Lonchura striata: one gene and its partner. The protein of the gene in region 1 purifies or fractionates together with the protein of each later gene. This does not show direct contact. Links are inferred from orthologs where the notes say so. Each region holds a gene or a part of one and is shown on either strand. Other genes may lie near its edges.

The links.
Region 2: the proteins of BAZ1B (region 1) and MYO1C purify together in Homo sapiens (affinity purification with western blotting; 3 studies listed by BioGRID, with this or other methods). This does not show direct contact. The link is inferred for Lonchura striata from reciprocal best matches to the Homo sapiens genes BAZ1B and MYO1C.

The regions. Positions count from the first base shown.
Region 1 is NC_134622.1:848,071-858,285, reverse strand, and holds the start of BAZ1B (tyrosine-protein kinase BAZ1B), read right to left. Parts: upstream 4,768-10,215; 5' UTR 4,645-4,767; coding exon 4,532-4,644; intron 1-4,531. UniProt on the Homo sapiens protein: Atypical tyrosine-protein kinase that plays a central role in chromatin remodeling and acts as a transcription regulator. Involved in DNA damage response by phosphorylating 'Tyr-142' of histone H2AX (H2AXY142ph).
Region 2 is NC_134622.1:6,795,784-6,806,597, forward strand, and holds the start of MYO1C (unconventional myosin-Ic), read right to left. Parts: upstream 4,032-10,814; 5' UTR 3,839-4,031; coding exon 3,821-3,838; intron 1-3,820.

The sequences.
Region 1 (10,215 bases):
GGATATTAACCATGCACTATGCAAGAATATTAACCAGGAACAGAGTCAACTCCAGAAAAGTCTACCACAGTACTCCCTTTTCCTGAAGCACACTGCAAAATCCAGCAGAAATCCCATGGTCTCCCAGCTTGTCCTGCTTGTGGAGCCTCCTGGTCCTCAGCAGAAGATCTGACAAGTTATCACCCCACTATGATTCAAGCCATCTGGCCCATTCTTTTCCTCCTTGGGCTTTAAAAGACGCTAAATTTTTCACAGAAACAAGAGGTTCTGTGGTTCAGGAGCAGGAAGTGTGATCATTTTGGTGGAGCAGAGGCAAGGAAAAAAATCACAGCTCATTTGCAAAGCTCCACTGACCAGCCCAGGAGTGCCACTGTGATACCTGTTGTAGTGATAATGAGGTAGGAGAGAATAAAAAATATAAAAAATTAAACAAGAAACCAGGAATCTTCTTTGGATTTTCAGCAACCTGGGACTGGAACAGGTTGCCCAGAGTAGCTGTGACTGCTCCATCCCCGAGGCCAGGTTGGACAGATCTTGGAGCAACCTGGTCTAGTGAAAGGTGTCCCTGCCCATGGCAGGGAGTGGAACAAGATGAGCTTTAGGATCCCTTCCAACACAAACCATTCTGAGATTCTATGATTCAATTAATCACTTTAATAATGACTAAGTTGCAACCATAATACTATTTATTCCTGTGCCTTTCCCACAAAGAACAGCATTAAAACCAAATCAAATCTTCACAGCAGACAGGAGCTTAAATACAGGAGCAGCAGTCATCTCCAGCTTCATCCAGCAATCTCTCTGCTTTCTCCCCTTAGTTTCCCCTCTGGGTATCTGTGGAATAACTGAATGACACTTTTTTCCCCTAACATTATTTCCGATATCAGTAGGGAGATTCAGGAGACTTCTCCCTATGAATGTTCCACTCCTTGTACACACCTATGAGAACAGGCTTAACTTTACCACATCAGGACTCACATTTCCCAGAAAAGCCTGGAATTTAGAAGTGACAGACAGGGTCATTCCCTGTTCAGCTCAGATCTGCCTCTTCCATGCAATTTAATTCCACCTCCAGCTGGTCAGCTCATCTAACACTAACTCTGGACACACACCTTACCTAGGGCTCCAGATTTGTCCCACCTTTGCGCTCTGCCAAGACGTCCAGGTCAGGTCCTGCTTTGAATTCCTGGGGCCAGCACAAAGTCAAAATGCAGAAGGATATTTCTGCAAAGTTTACTATAGCTCAAACTTTCCACTACATATACGCTGTTTGTCTTCTCCATTCAGACTGGAAACAAACCCAAGAAATTTCAGATCGTTCAGCAGGTCTGATCCAGAACTGCAAGTCATCATGCCTGTGGTATGCCACAATCAACCCACCTCTTTACACAGTGGGAGCCTCCAATACCAAAAATTCCCCACACAGGAATAAATAAAAAATCCTAGACACAAGCTACTTGCAAACATTGCCCACAAAGCTACAAATAACATGTATATTAAATGAAGCAACTGATTATCCACTGTGTAGGTATTAATACATCAAATCTGTTTCCATGTCACTGCAGATCACCTAATGCTGAAAGATGGCAAAATTAAAATACAAACAAAATTACAGAAGAAAAAAAGGACCTTTTTAAAGAAAGATGTTTAAAAGTTAGCAAGCTAACCACTGCACAAAACAACTGTTGACAAAATAAAAAATTTACTTCTTCCTCAATTAGTAATTTCTGGGAGAGCACTAATATCAACTCCAAGAAAGTTTTACTCTATCTGAATTGTTTGCACTTACATTAGCCAAGGAGGTAAACTTCCCAGAAATGTGGATACATTTATAAGGATGTGTGGCAAAGTTCTTCTGCAGTTGGAGAGTGTGACACAACAGTGTCTTGGTGCTGCTATCTTCCAGGCAGAGTTTGTCTGGCCAGTACCACATGTGAGGATGTGAGCAGCAGCCTTTAACCTGCCTAACTCCTCCTCTTCTCTGCACTGATACCATACAAAAGTATGAACTAAAGAAAGACAGCAGGCTTTTTATTCAGACAAGAGACAATAGAACTTCCCAAAACTGGAAGCTGAGGGAAAACTTTGGCTGGAAGAGCCCAGGGTAGCTGAGCTCTCTGAACCCAGCATACCTCCTGATCTGGCAGCAGTTTTCCAAGCTATGCTGCAGCAGACCTACATGCCCACAGCTGAGCTGACTGTTCTCCAGGGTACACACTGGGTATTTGGGAGACTGCAAATGTTCAGCATCTACTGCAATGCTGACAGCACTGTACAAGTGCAAAACATTTTCCCGACACTTCAGGTAGCTCAGAGCACACCCCACTGAGCTCCTGCAGGGATGAGTCTATCCCTGGCTATGATCTGTCATCCCCACACCCATACGATTAGCAAGACCCAAGGCTTTGCCAGAATGCAAAGGGTTCTACACAGCAGGACTTCTCTTTTAAGGTTTTTGCAGGATTTGGCAGTCACAGGAAACAGCATAAAGCTACAAAGGAAAAAGAGGCCAACCAAACACCTGAACGCTGCTGACCAGCTTATTCCATTCCCATTGCTGCCAAACACTTCCACAACACATATCCAAGAGGAAGATGTCTCTCCTCATGCACACCAGCACAGTCTCCATTTTTTGTGTGACCCAACCTGCAACAGCTGCAAATCTTAACAATAAAAAAAAAGCTTTAAGAAACGTTGGTGTCCTTCAAATGCCTCACTTGTAGCTGTGTAGTACAAGAACTTATATACAGTCTCTAGGGGAAGAGCTGATGAATGATTTTTAAAGATAGAAAACAATTCAGGAGAATATATTCTGTCAGGTCTTGGCATAAATAACACTGGGTGAAAACTCAGGTACCGCCGGGCATGCTCTCAGTAGGCCCCTCCCATCTTCCAGAGCCACTCCTCAGCACTATCTAGGATAAATGGAAGTGACCAAAAAAACCCTCCAAGTCTTCCTTGAGCAACATCTCCCTGCAGCTCAATGGCTCATTTGCAATTTTCTGTTCCACTTTTGGCCTAGCATATATTATACACCATAAGGCAAAGCAGAAACCAAACATTGCTTGGTTTCTCTTTTTAGCCTCATGACATCTGCCTGCCAAGATGAACTTTCTGGAACATGCAAGGCTGCCTCCCACAGCACCGCGTTAAATACTTCCTCCAAGAAAAGAGCATCTCTCCAGAACCTCAACAGCTCGTCTTGGTTTCTTCTTTCCTTCTAATCCTACAGCTAACACCCTCCCCCTCTCAGGAGGAGACACTTTATTCTCCCCTTAATTTTAATACGACCCAAGCATTTGCAGAAACATGTCCTCCACCTACTCACTATATCCACAAGAGCCACCCCAAAAAAATGGTGCTCTCAGGAGCCTCAGAACTCCCCTGTGCTGTTCCAACAAGGCAGATGGCCCTTAAAGCCAAGTCTTCTTTTATAAAAGTAGTATTTAGGCTTAAACTTATCTTTTTGATCACTGATCACTCCTCTAAGGGAAAGAGAAAGAACTGCCTGGTCAGGTGGATGACTTAGCTACTTTCAGTTTGCACACACCAGAAGAGCAGGTTGGTATCACACACTGCATGTTTTAATTTGAAACACAGTTAAAAAGCAAGTCTCCAACACTCCACCTAATCTTGTTTCACTGGAGTGAATGCATTAACAATGCCTACCTGCACTCAAGAGATGCATTTCCTCTTCAAAAGCCACCTAATCCTTCCTAGGGGCTTCCTCTGCCTGTTCTGTTCACTGCAGAAACAAGACATTCTTCAACACAGGGGCTATGGAAGTTCTGGAGCCCCTTGTCTTCCAACACCTCCTTCCTATATTCACGCATTACCTCTCACTTAGAGCCCTTCTTTAGTTCTCAACTCAGATCCTGATTTCTAGAGCACAAACACCAAGCCGGCCTTCTGAAGCAGCAAGTCTGCACGTTACAGCGCCGAGGTCCTGCCCCTTCAACCCTACTGCGGCCCCGGACAGAAACTCTGCCACCGCGCAGCTCTGTCAGTCACCAGCCTGGCCAAGGGCCATTTCCTGCGACCAAGGGCTGTCACACGCAGGGAAAAAAAAAAAAAAAAAAATTAAAAATTGGTTTTTAGGCAAAAGCAGCCCAGGAAGAGATACGCTCAGAACGAAAGCCCGGGATGTACGCAGCGAGAGCTCCTGCCGCTGTCTAATTTTCCAGAGATTAAGAACTGCGGAAGTCTCCGGCACCAGTGTGCACCTGGCCCGCGGGACCCCAGTATCCACACCCGCTCCAGGAGTGCGTGAATTGCTCTCATAGCCCGCTTTGACCGTCCCCGTTAGCTCCGCTCCCCGCCCGCTCCAGCCCCGCGGAGTTGCTGTCCCACATCCCCCGCCCGCTTGTAACAGGCTCAGAACTCCTCACGGAACAACGACCCCGCCGAGTCCAGGGTAGCGCCCGCTGCGCTCTCCTCACGGTCCCGCTCCCCGCTCGATCCCACCACCGCTTTGTTCGGCTCCACCGCCCCAGGACCCGCCCCGAACCCCGCGCCCCGGTGTGGCGGATACTCGCGGGTGCGGAAGGCCTCCTGCGTGTGGGGAATGACGAACAGCTCGCCCGGCTCCCCCGGCGGCAATGGCTTGGCCAGCGGGAATGGTTTGCGGCCGAGTAGCGGCGCCATAGTGGTACCCGGTGGGGCCCGGGAGGGACGGTTGAAAAATGGCGGGAGATTCCGCTCCCCCTTACAGCAGGCGGCGGGATCGGCCCCGCGCGCGCGCCCCGACCCTGCCGCCCCGCCCCGCAGCACCCGCCCCCTGCGTCGCGGCGCCGGCAGCCTATTGGCTAGGCGCCCACTCTGCCGGCTGCAGATTGGCCGCACAGCCGGTCGATCGTACCGCCCCGCCCCACCCCGCTGGCGCGGCGGGGTAAGAGGTCGCGTTATATAAGCGGCGGCGCAGCGCGCGGCTCCATTTTGTAGGCCTCCGTTATCCGCCCTCCCGCCCACTGTCGCGCAGCGACCAATCAGAGCGCACTCCGCCCCCTCCAACCCCGTGACTACCAATCAGAGTGCGTTCCGGCCACCGCCCCGCCTCGCGCCCATCCGGGTACCCCCGCGGGGCCGCGCGCCCGCGCGCCGGGCTTTGTCCTCCGCGTCTGACGCGGGGCATTGTGGGGCCGTGGGGGTTTGTGTGGCGGGCGCCGCTGCTCGCGCGGGAGGCCCTGGGCTCGGCTCCCTCCGCTCTGTGGGGACGCGGAGCGGCGGCTCCGGCGGGACGGCCTCCGGGCCGGGTGAGGTTGAAGAAGAGGCAGGAGCTGCGGGCTGGGGGCTGTTGGGACAATGGGGAGGGAGGCCCGACCCATCCCGTGGGTGCTACGCACTCCTGGGAATGGAGGAAGGATAAAAATTCGACAGTTGTGGGTTTATGGTTTTGTTTTTTCTCTATAGGAAATGTGTGGGGAGATTTCATGGCATGAACGTTTACTGGAGATTGGAGGGGCAGAAGCTCGAGCACTGCTTGCCTAAAGCAGTCAAAGCAGAAGCTGTAATCTCATAGCTGATTGGAAAGCAGATTTGTGTTTAATGTGTAAATACATTCTAGGGATCCGGGGTTTGTGCTGTTCATGGCACTGAGGATTAGGTCTGTTTTATACAGCCCTGATGTGGCTTCTTCAGGATGAGAAGCAGCAACCCTGGGAAACTGCTTAGAATCATAGGATCCCACAAGGGCTTGGGTTGGAAGGGACTGTGAAGATGATCTTGTTCCACCCCCTGCCATGGGCAGGGATTCCTTCCACTAAACCAGGTTGCTCCAAGTCCCATTCAGCCTTGCCTTGGGCACTGCCAGGGATCCAGGGGCAGCCACAGCTTCTCTGGGCAACCTGTGCCAGGGCCTCACCATTATCACAGGGAAGAATTTTTTCCCGGTATCCAGTCTAATCATGCACTGTGTCAGGCAGATGGACACTCAGAGTACCTCCTGCATGCAGAGGGCTGTTTATGCTGGGTGATTTGGCCCACATGGATGTATGAACTGGGACCAGTTCTGCTCTGGAGCAACAGAATTAATGGTGTCATTAATTTCCCTAAAAGACAGGACAGTAACTGGACCTCGCACAGTATTCTCCAGATTGTAGATGTAATAATCAGATTATTATTAGTTTACTAGATTGCTTTATAGCAATGAGGATCCCATCATTTCTGCTGGTGAAGTATTAAAATCATTTAACTTTCTTTGGGTGTACACTCATTTGATGTGTTGTGTAATTCTGGGAAGTTTGTGCTGTGAGTATCCCTGGAATACAGCAGTTGCATAATGGAACATAGAGCACAGTCTTCTGGGATCAAAAATCCAGTGCATTTTCTACAGCACTGTAAGCAGGCAGGAAAGAAGGGTAATGCTGCAACATAAGTGTTCACTTTTACATTATTGTTGTTGGCACTAGTAGTAGTATTCTGCAATGAAACAGGCTCCCAGTGAAGTTATGCCCCATCCCTAGAAGTGTCCAAGGCTAGGCTGGACAGGACTTGAAGCAACTTGGCCTAGTGAAAAGTGTCCCTGTCCATTATTTGGATGTAACAAGATGATGTTCAAGGTCCCTTCCAATCTATTCCATCTCATGAGTCTATGATTCTATTTCGTACCAGAACAGATAAGTAATGCCATAAATCCATCAGTGAGTTTAAGAATGGTTGTTGAGGATTCCCATTACTATAAGAGTTGCTTGAAAGCACAGTCAGTTCACAGCCAGTGAAACAGGTTATTGTGGTACTTCACATGGAGCTTGGCTTCATTCCATGTTATTTTGTCAGAAGTTAGAGTACCTGAGCTAAAATTCTACATGATGTATGTCTGCCTCTCTGGGCTGCAGGGCAAAGTGGGGAGGGGAAAGAAAACTAGAGTGTAATGAACCAAGGAAGAATGGGGTGCAGACCTGTGGAGCAGTATAATGTGGGAAGAACATGCTTAGCTGAAAGGTGGTGTTGAGGGAATATGGCCACTCTGTAGCTCTGACAATGTGGGGACACATCAGGGGTCTGACCCTGGGGGATGACAGCATGCGAGGAGGGGGGCAGCAGGCACAGGGCTAGTCCTTGGACAGGGAGAAGCCTCAGGGGAGATGCAGGCAGGGCAGGGAGCTGAGGGAGGCAGGACCACAGGGAGGGATGGGAGGGTGAGTTACCTGTCCCTGCACACCCATCGTGGAGCCATGTGCCTGTTCCTCCATAGCAAGCCATTGGGATCTGGGGCATGGCAACCCTTCAGTGCTGATACAGGACTGGTAAAGGTCTGGTGTCCCGCAGTCATTTTTCAGGCTGGGAAATTGTGTGTAGTTCCTGGCACAGGTTAATCATGCACTGACTAGAGAGCTGTTCATTTACCCTGCAGCTGCTTGCTGAGGCACACAAAGGTTGGGTTTCTCTTCATGGGTGGTACCTGCCCATTGCAGCAGCTTCTTAGCCTCAGGAGCACCGAGTTATTCCAGGATGGTTTTCCAAGGCAGTTGTATACTGTCTCCCAGTGCCCAGGAGATGGCACTCCTGCATTTGGACTGTGTGCAGCTGTTCTCCAGACACCAGAGGTTGCCTGAAGAGGAGAATCCCATCGTGGGATGCCTGTTTGCTGGGGAGGGAAGTGGCCACATTTGCAGTGTCTGGTGATCTCTCCTGTTCTGGGCAATACCAAAGCTGGGGTGGTGAGCTGTGAGAACAGTCTCTGCCAACCAGGCAGGCATTCCTGGATGCATATCGATGCCACAAACTCCAGCAATGGGTTGGTGTCACTGTCAAGTAGTTACCACCATAGAGGACCTGAAGGTGTGAGGTCCATGCAGCTGCAGCTCCTTCAGGTGTGAAAGCCAGATGAAAGCATCCTTGTGAGGATGGTGCCCACTGTCATGAAGCCTTACTACTGGCTGCCTCTTCTCAGCCACAGCTGGTGCCTTTAGCATTCCAGCAGGGAGCACATGATGGAAATCATGATTTGACCCCCCGCACTGCTCTTCACTTATAGCCCTTAACTGCTCTTGCCCTTCCCCTCAATCCCCATCTTCCCTTGCCTTCACCAGCAGTGTACATAGAGAAAATTAAAGCACTTGGACTCACTTGAAATCAGCTTCCACTTGTGTTAAACAGTGGTGGAACTCAGTGCATTTATCTGAGCAAATGAGTTGAATACAGGTTGGAGGTTAAGCTGTGTCCCTGGGGATGTTCTCAGATTTTCCCTCTTCAGAAACAAAAGCAGATTTGCAAGTCTCATACATGTGTGTTTAGAGAGTGAGATTGAGTTGGTGACCCAGAGGAGTGAGGAGCTGGTGAGTGGTGGGAGAGGTGACACAGGGGTGACAGGGGTCTGTCCAGGCTGGCCATGCTGCTGGTCTGACTCTTGCCCAGGGTTGCCTGCCCTTAGGGCACCTGAGGAGGTACTGCATTGATGCTGTTCCTAGCAGCTTCCAAACACACTTGGAGGCATTTGACCTGGTGGTTTGCAAAGCCCCTTCTCTGGGTCATGGACTTCCTCTGTACTGACATAGGAGGAAGTCAATGTGCCTAATCTCTGGGCACAGTGTCCTGCTGATCTGTCAGCTGTTCTTATGATCTGTGCTTGAAAACTTTTATCTTGTGTTCCTACACCTTCAAGCAATTTCTCAATTTCCCCATCCTTCCCATGGCAATCTGGACTTCCCAGTTATTGCTCCTCTGGGTTCTGAACCAGCAGAAGCCAACTCTGCCCCAAGTGCTCCAAGGTCAGTTTGATCCTAAATGTGATTTTGGTCATGTGGGTCTTAACATGCCTCTCCCCTCACCCCAGGTAGCTGCCAGGATCCAAAATCAGGGTTTGCTCTCATCCTGGTGCCTGCTGGACTACACAACACTAGACTCGGTGCCAGCTGTCTGGACATTGTGCTGGCAAGGGCCTTAAATAACACAGGACTTGGGAGCAGGACACAATTGTGAGTGGGTGGCCAAGGCTGCCACCCTGCTGTCCCCATTGATGCTCCCCAGAGGGGAGCTCCCACAGGGCTTTGCATTGGGAGCTGCAAGCAACCTTGTGTCTTTCAGAGAAAAAGGAAATAGCTGATTAATCCTGGAGGAGCTGGAAGAGCCAGAAAAAGGGGACTTAAGGGAGGATTTAGTTAGAAATGGCCCAGATACATCAAACTATCTCCTGCAGAAAGCCATACCCCATTACTGCTTCTATATACGGGACAGCTTACGGTACTTACTCTATTAGGAGCCTGGTGATGCTTTGATATATTCCCAGGAGACTGTGATAAAATTTCTGACACTATTTTCCTTGGCTGATTTCAGTCAATCACTTCCAATGGAACTGCCTGCCTGCCTGATACTGAGGTGACATTATGCCCTTGCCAGGCAGGCAGGCTCCTGGAGAGGTGGGCAGAGCAGCACCCGAGGAGCTCCCAGGTGTGGGAAAACAATAGGCTTATAGAGAATGTCCCCAAACATCCCCAGCATCACTGACCTTCTCCCAGTGAGGCAGTGAGCGCTGCCCAGCTTCTGGCTCATAGTACACACAAAAGATGCAGATTCTATGAGACATCTGCAGATGCTCTTTGCTGCTGGTGATGACATCCCAGGTGTGTCTGAGTCAACTCTCCTGCTCCAGCCTGGAGTTAATCCAGGTGTTTGATGTAATCTTGTTCCTTTCTAACATCAGTGAACATTTGAATTGGACCAAAAGGCTCTGGCTTTACTCCATACATGTGAGCCTGAAGCATGTTTCTTGGCTGGTGGTCTTGCTCAGACAGTACATGGCCATCCCAGGTGCAAATATGCATCCTTATATATTTTTGGTCACAAAATCTTTCACTATCAGAGCCTGTCCTAGTTTAGGGAAAATCTGGGAGGAAACTTCCAAAGGGTTCCCTCTAGAAAGTATATTCAAGCAGCCCCTCCCCCTACTGGTTTGGGAAAAGATTTCCTAGGAGAAAAGTGGAAAAAACCCTGTTTCTTTAACAAGCAAAGCATTCACAAACATGAAAAAAATAATAATATTAAACAACAAAACCTCTTGCTGTTCTGAAGAGATGGCAAATGTAAAGTTGTGTTTGCACTGTATATCCCCTCATAATGCTTTGTCCCTCCATATCCCCTCTTTGTACCTGTTTGGTTCATCCCAGTTTCCCCATCAGTACCTGTATGTCCATCAAACCCCAACCCATCCCCCTGTCTCCTCCCAGGTGATGTGTCCATCACCTGGTGACCCTTCCCCTTTGTCCAGATCCTTCCCCC
Region 2 (10,814 bases), about 5.9 Mb from region 1:
AAGACCAGCAAATACCTCCAAGCTCCTGGGAGTACAAAACCACTCAAGACTGTACCAAGGAGTTTCCTAAACTGAGCTGGGAAATCGCTGACGAGGGATTGTGAAGGTGTAAACACATATTTTTCCTTTAAACTCTGCTGAATGCCAAAGCATGATAAAGTTTTTCCTCTGCTTAGGACATGGAGAACTAATACACCTCAGAAATGAAAAACAGGACCTTTTGCTCTGCACAGCAAAATCCAAAGTATTAGAGTCAGCCAGGCTGAGCACAAATTTGGGGGAATTTGTGCTGGAAAATGGGAGAGCAGCACTGCCATGAGCACAGGGGCTTGAGCAGAGCAAGAAACTCCCCCTGGCTTTGTCCAGCAGCTGCTCCACAGCCATGGAATACCCAATGTGGCACCAAGACTCATTCCCAGGCTTGATTTTCCCAGAGGGGTACTGGAGTGGTTTAAAACTCAACTCCAGACACACTGAGGGAACAGGCAGCACCAGCAACTTCCCACTCCTTTCCATGAGAAAACACCTGGAATTCTCAAAGTGAATGGTCTTGTATGGAGCAGGGAAACTGCACAACTGATTCAGAAAGGAATTTGTGTTTCAACACCTAAAAATATATCTTGCAATATTTTCTCCTGGCAATGTATTTTTACAGATTGGGTTGTATCCATCAGGAGATTCTCTGGAAGAACCCCAGGAAGTGGCTCCATCTGGGAAGAGGCAGGCACCTTTATCTTGGTATCAAGTGCAAGATGATTGATCTGCAGGCTCCAGAAATAGTCACAAAGCCGGGAACGGAAGAACAGGCCAGAACCAAATGTGAGTGGGAAGGGAAATTCAGATTAGATTCTGGAAGACAATGCAAGTCTGAACCAAGAACGAACTTCTCGTGGGGAGGTGGCAGCAAAAAAACATTTGTCTCATGGATAGTTGGACATTCTTCACTGTCATGCCAAAGCTGCAGGAAAGAAAAAGAATTCCTTTGATTTCTACTTCATTCTACAGCCTGGGAAAGAGCTTGGACACAACATGGGCCAGACAGCAGAGCAGACAAAAATCAACTGTTGTATCCACGGCCTCAATTCCCAAGGTGCAGAATGGGAAAGCTCCTCTTTCCCTCTGCATGCAGAAAGAAATAATGAGGATGGCAGAGGTGGACCAGACTGAGGGAATCTGCCAGCAAATCCCTGGCAGACTGAAGTGCAGCCACTCGGGATCCTCCTCCCTCCTGCCACACTGCAAATCAGCTGCTCGTGCTGGACACAGCTCCCTGGGTTAGTCAACAGCTGGGTTGGAAAGAAAGATTTCCTGAGAGGCAGCTCTGTGTCTCCCATAAAAATCCCCTGCAAGCAACCACGTGGATTTGTCTGCCCTTTCTGAAGCCACCTCAGTTAATAATTGATAAGACAGGTATTTGGCTTGTTTAGTTAAAAAAAAAAAAAAAAATCAAATAACAAAAGGAAATGCTTTATGTTTTGCTTTTAATTATGTAAGGCAAATGAGGTGATTTCCCAAAGGACAACTTGGGAAAAGCAGAGCTGTCAGGTGGATTGGGACCAAAGCAGGTAACAACGCTGGTGACACAGACCAGCAGAATTAGAGGAAACAACTTTAGTTTGCAGCTGCCACTCAAGGACCTTTTCTCAGAATTACTTTTTATTCTTGCTTATTTTAGACCAATACATCACCAGCAATGGAATGTCTGGAGTTAGGGAACTCAGAACTTGGTTGTCCCTCTGATACTTCCCATCCTAACCAGATGGAAGGATGGAACTTCAGAATACATTATTAAAAAAATTATATTCAAGAAAAAGAAATGCTACATCCTTGACTAATTCTTGTAAAGTAATTTCTTTGACGTTTTCCACATTTTGGGTAGGGACAAATTGAAATAATAAGTAGCTAATATTATTTGTTCAATATTTATAACATAATTATACCTTCCAGATTTTACTTTGTGGGGGGATGAGTAAGGAAATAAGCAATTAGCAGTGAAAAGGAAAAGGCAGTTGTAAGAACTGATTTGAAGGACAGGAAAAATGTTTACCATCAAGAGGGGTAATGATATTTCAATCAACAGGCTAAATATAAAAGAGCACTAAGAAAAATGAACTAGGCAAAGAAAGATCACCAGGGCTGGAAAAGTAAATACACAGAATTTCTATATTTAGGGAGCTGACATTTTTGCTCCTGAACAGATGGCACAAGCTGCTGCTGGTTCAAAGATGTTGCTGGTGGCAGTTTGCTCAGGAGACCTGTGCCCACAGGCCTGGGCATCCCACAGCAGCTTCAGAGGACAAACAGATTTCAAAAAGGCATTTAAAAAAGGCAAAACATCAACTTGCTGCCCTTTCCAATGAGTTTTGGTGCTGATTTCCAGAGCAGCTGAGCAGGTGAAGGGTGGCAGAAGCTCAGACATAAAGAGCCAGGGTCTGCCTGTGCCCCTGGCAGCTTTGGGGCACTGCCTGTGCCCCGTGCCCTGGCGATGCCCTGTGTCCCACTGGCAGCCCTTCCCTTCCCCACTGCATTCCACACCCCCACAGAGCCCTCTCACACCACGAGCTCTCTCAGAGACTCAAACTTTCCAAAGAGAGCTCCAGAGCATTCCGGGGCCACGCGAAGGGCACCTCCACCCCACAGCTCCCGCGGGGAACTGGGCACCACCCCGGGCACCACCTCTGCCCATCCCACTGCCACCTCTGCCAGCCTTCCTCCAGCCCACAGCTGGGCACGGGGGCTGGCCCCAGCACACCAGATACCAGCAGAAACAGCCTGTGGAGCCCTGGCACCTCCACTTCCACAGAGGAGGGTCTCCAAAAGCTCTGCCCTGCCCTTCATCATTTTCTCAGTGGTCAGCACTAGAATATTTGGGAAAACAAGCAAGGATCTCTGGATTGAGCAGGTATGGGACACACCAGCCCCATGGTAACTCTTCTTTAACACAGAATTGCTCCAATCTACAGAAACGACGTTTTCAACTCTTCTCTTCCTAAATTTGGTCACTTTACCAATTAAAGCCTTGAGCATTCTTATCCAGGCAAAAGCCCACACACTTTTTTTATAACACTCCCTCATTCTTGACCTCAGCATCTTCCAGAGTCAGTGAATTCCATGGCCCAATTATTCACTGTATGAAAATAATCTTTGCATCTCTTTGGCAACTTTTAGCTTAATTCAGTGTCCCTGTTCCCATGCTACACAACACAGAAAAAGGAGTTCTGTGTTTTCTGTGGCACTGTTATTTTTTTTTTTCCTCCTCTTGTCCTCATCTTTTTTTCCAGGTAATAATCCCAGTCCTGTCAATCTTTTGCCACAAAATCCTTTTCCCAAGCCCAGGGTTGTCCCATGCAGGATGCAGGGCCAGGTGTTCTGGCTGCTGCTAAAGCATGGACAAAGTTTTCCTAAACTAAAACAGCCTGGAGAAGCTGAGTGGCAATGAATCCTTAAGCAGGTACTTCCTGCCATTCCCTAGGATGGCAGGAATTGGACAGGAGCCCTGGGAAGGAGAAGAGCAGAGCCCAGCTCCAGGACGGTCCTTTCACATCCTTGTGCCCAAGTGAAAGCTCCACCCTTTCTTCCCTCCTAAAGCAGAGCCCAGCTCTCTCCTCTCTTCCCACTTTCTCAACTCCCACCTTGCCTTCCTCCTCCCAACAGGTATTCTCTGAGTTTTTAGCTCAATTTACCCCTTTTCACACAACTTTTAAATGAAAGATCCTTCTCAAAGCATTTCACTTCCCTGCTGAAAGCCTCCTCTCTTCTTCTGAGACCAGACAGGCATCTGAGAGCTGCAAAGCCACCAGAGGAGTTAAATAAACCTTACCCCGCCTCGGAACTTCATCTCTGCCTCCTGCAGCCCTCGCAGAGCCTTCGCTTACGCCGCTGCAAAAAGCAGCAATCTGAAGACAACTTCTCTCTTCTGTCAGTTCCTTTATTTTTTTAATTTTTTTTTTTTTCATGGCATTTTCAGTGCAGTCAGAACTCCCTCCCTCCCACCAGCTCCTACTGGAGCATGTGGAGAGGGCGTTTTCCAAGGAGAACTCCCTCCCAGCCAGGAGCGGCCCAGCAGAGGCAGTCCCAGGGAAATCAGCTGCGCTCTGCCGCGGAGTTCCCGCTGCCCAGTGACAGGGAAAAACGGAAAGAAAAGTAATCCCAGGCACTGGAAAAGCTGGGGCCGAGCCCAGCACACAAACCACAGCCATCAGACAGGAAGAGACGAGCTCTGGGACACTGGGTTACTGTCCTGGAACAGCAGCGTGGGCAGGGCTCCCCAAACCCGCTCCCAGCTCACCCCAAACACAACAAACACCCAATCCCAACCCTGGCACTGACAGTACACTTGGAATCACCCCCTCAGGAAATCACAGGGCCACAAGGAGTCCAGGGTTGGATGCAGTTTGCCTTCACAAGGATTTAGAATCACAGAATGGTTTGGATTGGAAGGGACCTTAAATTTCACTTATTTCCAATTCCACCAAGCCCTGTCCTACCTGGCTCAGCAGTATTTTATTCCAGATTCCTTTGGAGCCATCCAGCACCAAACTCCCCACTTTACCTGGAAGTTCTGAGGTCTTTATTACAAAACAACCTGCACTACCCAAGGAAGAGCTTTCTAGAGGACACAGTGAAGGCACTGCTGCCCTCAGTCCCCAGCCCTTGCAAAGAGAAGTTGCACATTTTGCTGTCTCTGAGCTCATCTGTTCTCACACAGAATTATTTGTGATCACAGCTACACCAAGAGTGTGAAAACCCCACCTCATTTCCCACCCACCTGCCTGAGATAAGGGCATTCTAACAAAAATACTGCACAGCCTTTACCAGCATTAGGGAAAAGTGAAAGAATAAGAGACGGTGGACATTAGCTGGAAGAAGGGAAATTCCAATGAGTTATTGGGAAATTTTTTTCCCCAGTGAGTGCTGTGAAATACTGGAACAGGGGTCCCAAAAGGTTGTGAAACTATCACTGGAGATATTTAAAACTCAACCAGACAATGACTGAGTGACTTGATCTAAATTAGTCCTGCCCGGAAGTGAGGTTGGACCAGAAATCTCCACAAATTCTTTCCAACCTAAAATAATTCTATTATTTTGTTCCTCAATGGACTAAGCTGGGCATCTATCCTAAAAGGAGCTGTAGGTAGTGTAAATAAATACATTAATTTGTTAGAGAGGATGCCACCCCTCAGGTATTTCAGGCAATTCATATTGTGAGCTGTCAAGCAGATTCTCTAATTATTGAACATGCAGAGCCATGGAATAATTCCCAAGCTCAGCTGCTGATGTTTCATGACTGGCACTATCTGCACTCAGCTCTGCTTAAAAGGGTTTTTTGTTTGCTTTGTTTTTTTCCTTCTTATCAAAATGCATCCTTCACAAATTCTGCTACAGGAAGGGTAAAGCCAAGCTCTGAATTAAAAAGATTTAGAGCAAAAGGCTAAAAGGCTTCAACCTCCTTAGAGAGGAGGCTATTTAAAAGCAAAGACACGTAGCAGATGTTGTCAGTGGTTGGGTGCAGCACTCCCCTCTAATTAGCTTTGCCCAAGGCAGAGATCCCAAAGATCCTGGCTGCTGTGGATGTCACAGGCAGACTGTGCCAAGGATTTGGGATGGAGCTGGGCTGCTGGGAGCTCTGCAGTGCCACAGCTCCTCTGCCCTCCCAGACTCCATTTTGAACATGATTTGTGGTTCTTGCACAACTCTGTTTGGCAGGACTTTCATTCACTTCTTACCTCAGCTGGGTGAATTTTTAACAGCAGCAGCTTCAGGATGTGGCTCGGAGGAGGGTTTAGTTTTGGGCTGGCACTGAAGGAAGTGGACACTACTCCAAGCCCCTGTCCTGTGCACAGGTGAGACCAGAGGTGATATAAACTCCATTTCCCAAACTGAGCCACATCAGCCATTAGTGAAACACAACAGTGAGCCCTGAGCCAGGAGCTTTCCAAGCATAACTAAAGCTGTGGCCTGGCACAGCACTAATTCTTCAGGAGGACAATGTCAGTGCTCCACTCTTCAAACCAATCTAATTGTCACCAAACAAGTTCAGTTAAACTCCTGTTATAATTCTAAGTATTAGCAGAGTTATCTTCACATAAACAACTCAACCTTTTCCCTAGCTAACACCTCCTAACACTTCTCAGATCACATCCCATCACTGAAAATGCCACATAAGAGAAGAATATACAACAACCCAGTACTTAGAAGTACATTTTTTACATATTTCCCTTGGTTTTTTCATGCAGGAGAACCCTTTTATTTATTTATCCACTGGAAAGACCTTTACTCAAAATGCTTTTTTCTGCAGCCAAACTACTGCCCAACTTCTGCTGGCGAGGAAAACACTCCTGCATGTGGATTAGCCTAAATTAGGAGAGGGAGGGAAAAACGTAGGAAAGCAGAGAGATCATTTTACTCTGTAAGATCTTGATACTGGATTATGAAGGTGATAAAACCAGACTCTTCCTTTCCAGCAGCAGAGCCCAGCCCTTGTCTGTGATTTCTGCTGAGGATGGCTGGCAAGGTCTGGCTCACTCCAACAGGCAACTACAGGCTGAGGGATGAATCAAGTTTTCCAGGCCTCGCCAGCTAGAAGTGACTCATTTAAACCCTGGATTAGAGCACAGGGATTGCTCTGCTCGTTGCAGATAAGCAGCTGATTCCCTGCATACAATTTCACATTCAAAGCAAGGGGACTGGAAACCTTTCCTGTCAGCCCTGCTCTGACAGGCTCGCAGAGCCGAGCGTGACTCGCTCAGCTACACCCACAAGCAGTGGCTCTGCTGAAAAAATAAAGAGTTTGGCCCCACGAAAACACCATCAGTGTTCCCCTCTGCAGTGTAGATTCCACTGCAAATATAAATCTGGAGGTATGAGATGCTGCCTTGGGTTTATGCTGTTCAAAAATCAACGTGGATCACATCTGTGTTATTCCAAAAGGCGTCAAGTTCATCATCAGTGAGTGAGTTCTTTCTGGATTTTTATATTTGTTATTACTGCCTTACAAAAGAACTACAGAATAAGACACATTCCATAATTAGAAAGCACTTGGCAAAAATACCATGGGAAAGAAACCACCCTAAACAGGCCAGGAATTTGAGAGCCCTTCCTCTTGCAGGTCAGAGGAACATCTTAATCAAAAAATAGAAATGTCTTTAACCTGTCATACGTGTCCTGCTGTCCAGATTATCCTGATCTAAAACTGATTAAAATGCCTCACATTCTTAAAACACCCTATAGCAGAAGCTGAAGGTTTTGAGGAACATTTGTCCCACTGCTTAGGAAAAACACCTTGTGTCCAACAGAGGATGAACATCTGACTGCAGGATAAGGATAAATCAACACCCTGCCAAAGAGGCAATGCTAAATATTTAACAGGTTTGATAAAAAGGCAAAACCTACTCATTACATTATTAGTTCTGCTAAGAATTGTCTCTTTTCTACCCAGTTTTTGGATTAAAACATCTCCTCTTCCCCTCTCAAGAGTGCTCCAAACAAGTAACCATGAGCAGAGGTTTGAACACAAGACATTGGCCCCTGGAGACACAACATTCCTGCTCAGTTATGAAACTGCACACCTAGAAAGGTTAAACCAAAAGCTCATTATACTCACTCAAAAGGTGCCTCAAGATGGTGAAAGTTCCTTCACTTTACTGCAAACTTCATGACATCAAAAGCTGACTGAATTCCCCAATTCTGTATGAAGGTGTTTGCAGGGTTAAAGACAAAACCTTAAAAATAGTGAGGTGTGGCCAAAAGGGTTCAAAAACCAGAAGACAAAGAATATTTAGATTATTCTTTTGGATTCTAATTTATGCTTTGTAATGTTTAAAACTGTCAATACTGGTTTTGTTTGTTTCAAGAAAGCTTCATCAGTGAGAACACCAAACTTCTTTTCTTCCCAAGCTCAGTTTTTCACAAATAAATACAAAAAAAAAAAAAGAGGAATACTGCAAAAAACGTAGATGCACATGTCTCCTTGGATTCCTGCACTATCTCTGCCACTGCTGTTCCCTGTTTTGATGCCCCTGGTGATGGATTAAAAAGCACATATGACAGGCTTGCATTTAGTTATGGCTCCCGCACACACACAATAATTCTGGGTCTATGACGTGAGCGAAAACAGAAACTGGGTTAATCTAACAAATTAAGATAAATTTTCCTTGTTGTTGCTTTCTGCTGAAGCAGTGAAACAGAAATGGCTGGCTGGCTTTGACAGTGGCCATCAGAACAAAGTCCCACTTTATAATTACCAGATGCCCTTAATGTGATGCCAGTTTGTCTCATGCCCGTGGCTGCTCCCGCTCATGGCCCTGTCAGGGTTTCCCTGATTTTACAAACACACTCCAATCTCAACAGCAATTGTTGCACTGACTCCAACAACAAAGTTTAAACCAGCAGTTAATTCCCTGTGATTGCTGTGGCCCTGCTCTGACACAATCATTTGCAGCAGTTGTGGCAGGGACGGGTTTGGAGGGAGCTGGTAACACAAACAGCCTGACTCAGTTCAGCTGATGTGCATTCCTGCAGACTGACTTTCCAAACAGTCACTCCTAGTGGCAGGACCTACATCTTCCTTTTAAGGGGAAAAAATGTTTTCACAGGAAAAATTAAGTGTTCAAAGCCTGTGCATATCTTGGTGCTTCCAGCGAGTCTCGCCTTTAAAAACACATCCTAGCTGCACGCAGAACAAAAACTTCTCCTTCCTTAATTTAAAGTTGTTCCTCTTTTTTAACACAGCCATTGGCTGTCTGCCCATCCCTGGCACTCTCAGGTGAAACATCCTAGCACACTGCTTTTCACACAAACCAGCACTCAACAGAGAGTTGGTTTTCCAAAGGAAGGACTCAATCTGAATGAGGAAAACATGATGAAAAAGAACAGAGAATGTACAGGCTGCAGGCAAAACTTTACAGCTCACACTGCTGACTGACAGTTCCTATTCCTTCACATTTCTTTTCCTGCATTTCTGAAAAGAGGCTCAGTGTTAGAAAGGGCTTACGGCTGGAAAGCAGATCACAACAAAAACTTCTTGTTCCATCCACACGAGATAAGGAAAGAGTGAGCACTGGTGCTTTGCCTGCAAGTTAGATGAAGGAAACAGGATTTCCCTCTGCTACTCCCTGAGCAAGATCCCAAGGAAATGTTTCTAATAATAGGAAATTACTATATAAGGCCAGATCAGCACTAAACTGTTTGCAGTCTGGAGGAGAAGGATGTACAGGAATCCTGAGGAGGACACACCAGCCTGCTCACACATCAGGGGAAGGCAGCACAGCCAGGGCTCCCCTCCTCACAGAGGGGCAAAGTTTAACCTGGGACTCCTCTGCTGAGCAGAGTGCAGTCCTACAGCCCAAAATAGCAACTAAATGGACAAATTAGAGCTGCTCTGTCCTTCTGTAATGCCCTTGCTTTTCTCCATGGCAGGAGAAAGACTGAATAGACTTTAAAATCTACAAAATAACACTTGCAAAGCAAAGCTGAGCACGTCTCCTATTGGGAAAGGGCAGGAAAAGACACAGCCATGCCCTAAAGCACAACAGGGGCAGTGCTGATGCAGAGGGCAGGCTGAGAGCTCCCCTTCCTGGGCTGCAGATCCATGGAGCACAAATGTTTTATGAACTGGACAGTTCTCTAACTCATCTTGGTTCAAACAAGACAAGCAAAGACATTGGGTACCCATATAAGTTCATTTTTTGCAGCGTTCCCACAAAACTGCAGGAATTAATGTCTCCTAGGCCATGAGTTTCAGCAGCTCCAGGCAACAGGGCACATCCCAGCAGAACTGCCAGGGGCACTGCTCTGGGGCTGTAGCTCCAACCCACACTTTTCACCATCTCTTCAGCAGACACCAAACCTGCAAGCCCAGTTAAAGGACAGATTTCCCTCCTTCTTATTACTATATAAGTATATAATAATAATATAAGAATAATACTATATTATACAAATGGAAGGGAGTTCCTACAACAACACTCACAGAGACCTCGTTTGGGGAAAGTGATAGAACTGAAAGGTTTCTCTGTGATTCTCATCAAGGGGTATCTTTCCATCCTGCTTTGTCTTTGGATAAGGCCAGGAGCTCCCAGTGCAGGGCAGCTTGCTGAGCAAACACAGCCCCAGAGCTGCCACGGAAATGAGCACAATATAAATTGCTAGACAGATTTATAACTCAGAGTTTTGGTTGGGTTTTGTTTTGTTTTGTTTTTTTTCCTCCCTGACAGCAAGAGATGTTTGTGACAAAATGTACAAACAATTCTGTATCTGTAGCCCTACCACATCCTATGTCTCTTCTCTGCAGAATGACACAGCTTCCAGGGGAAAGCAAGGCCAAATCCCAGCCAACATTTCCCAACATTTCCCTGTCAGCTGGTGAGACCTCCTCGAGCTGCGGGGTTCAGTTTGCCACAGCAAATTAAAAATAAAAAAAAACAAACCCAAACTTCAAAAAGAGAGCCTTAAAAAAAAAAAAAAACAACCCAGGCCACCCTTGTGAAAGAATCACTGATGAGAGATTAGATTTTGACAGCAAAACTCTCTCTACATCACAGCATCAGGAGCTTCACAGTCCCCATGAAAACATGGCTGAGATTCCGAATTATTCCCAATTCCCTCCACTGTCCCACAGGACTCCTCCAGTGTCACCAGGACCTCAGCAGCTGCTTGTACCTGGCCCTTGTCCCCACAACACCTGGCCAGAACAGGGTGTGCACTCAAAGCCTTCCAGGGCATGTTCTGGGCCAAGAGGATGTTTCATGTTGGGCTTTATCTTTAGGGACATCTTGATTTCTGAGGGTTTTTAGACTGACCTTTAATTTTTGTCCTGT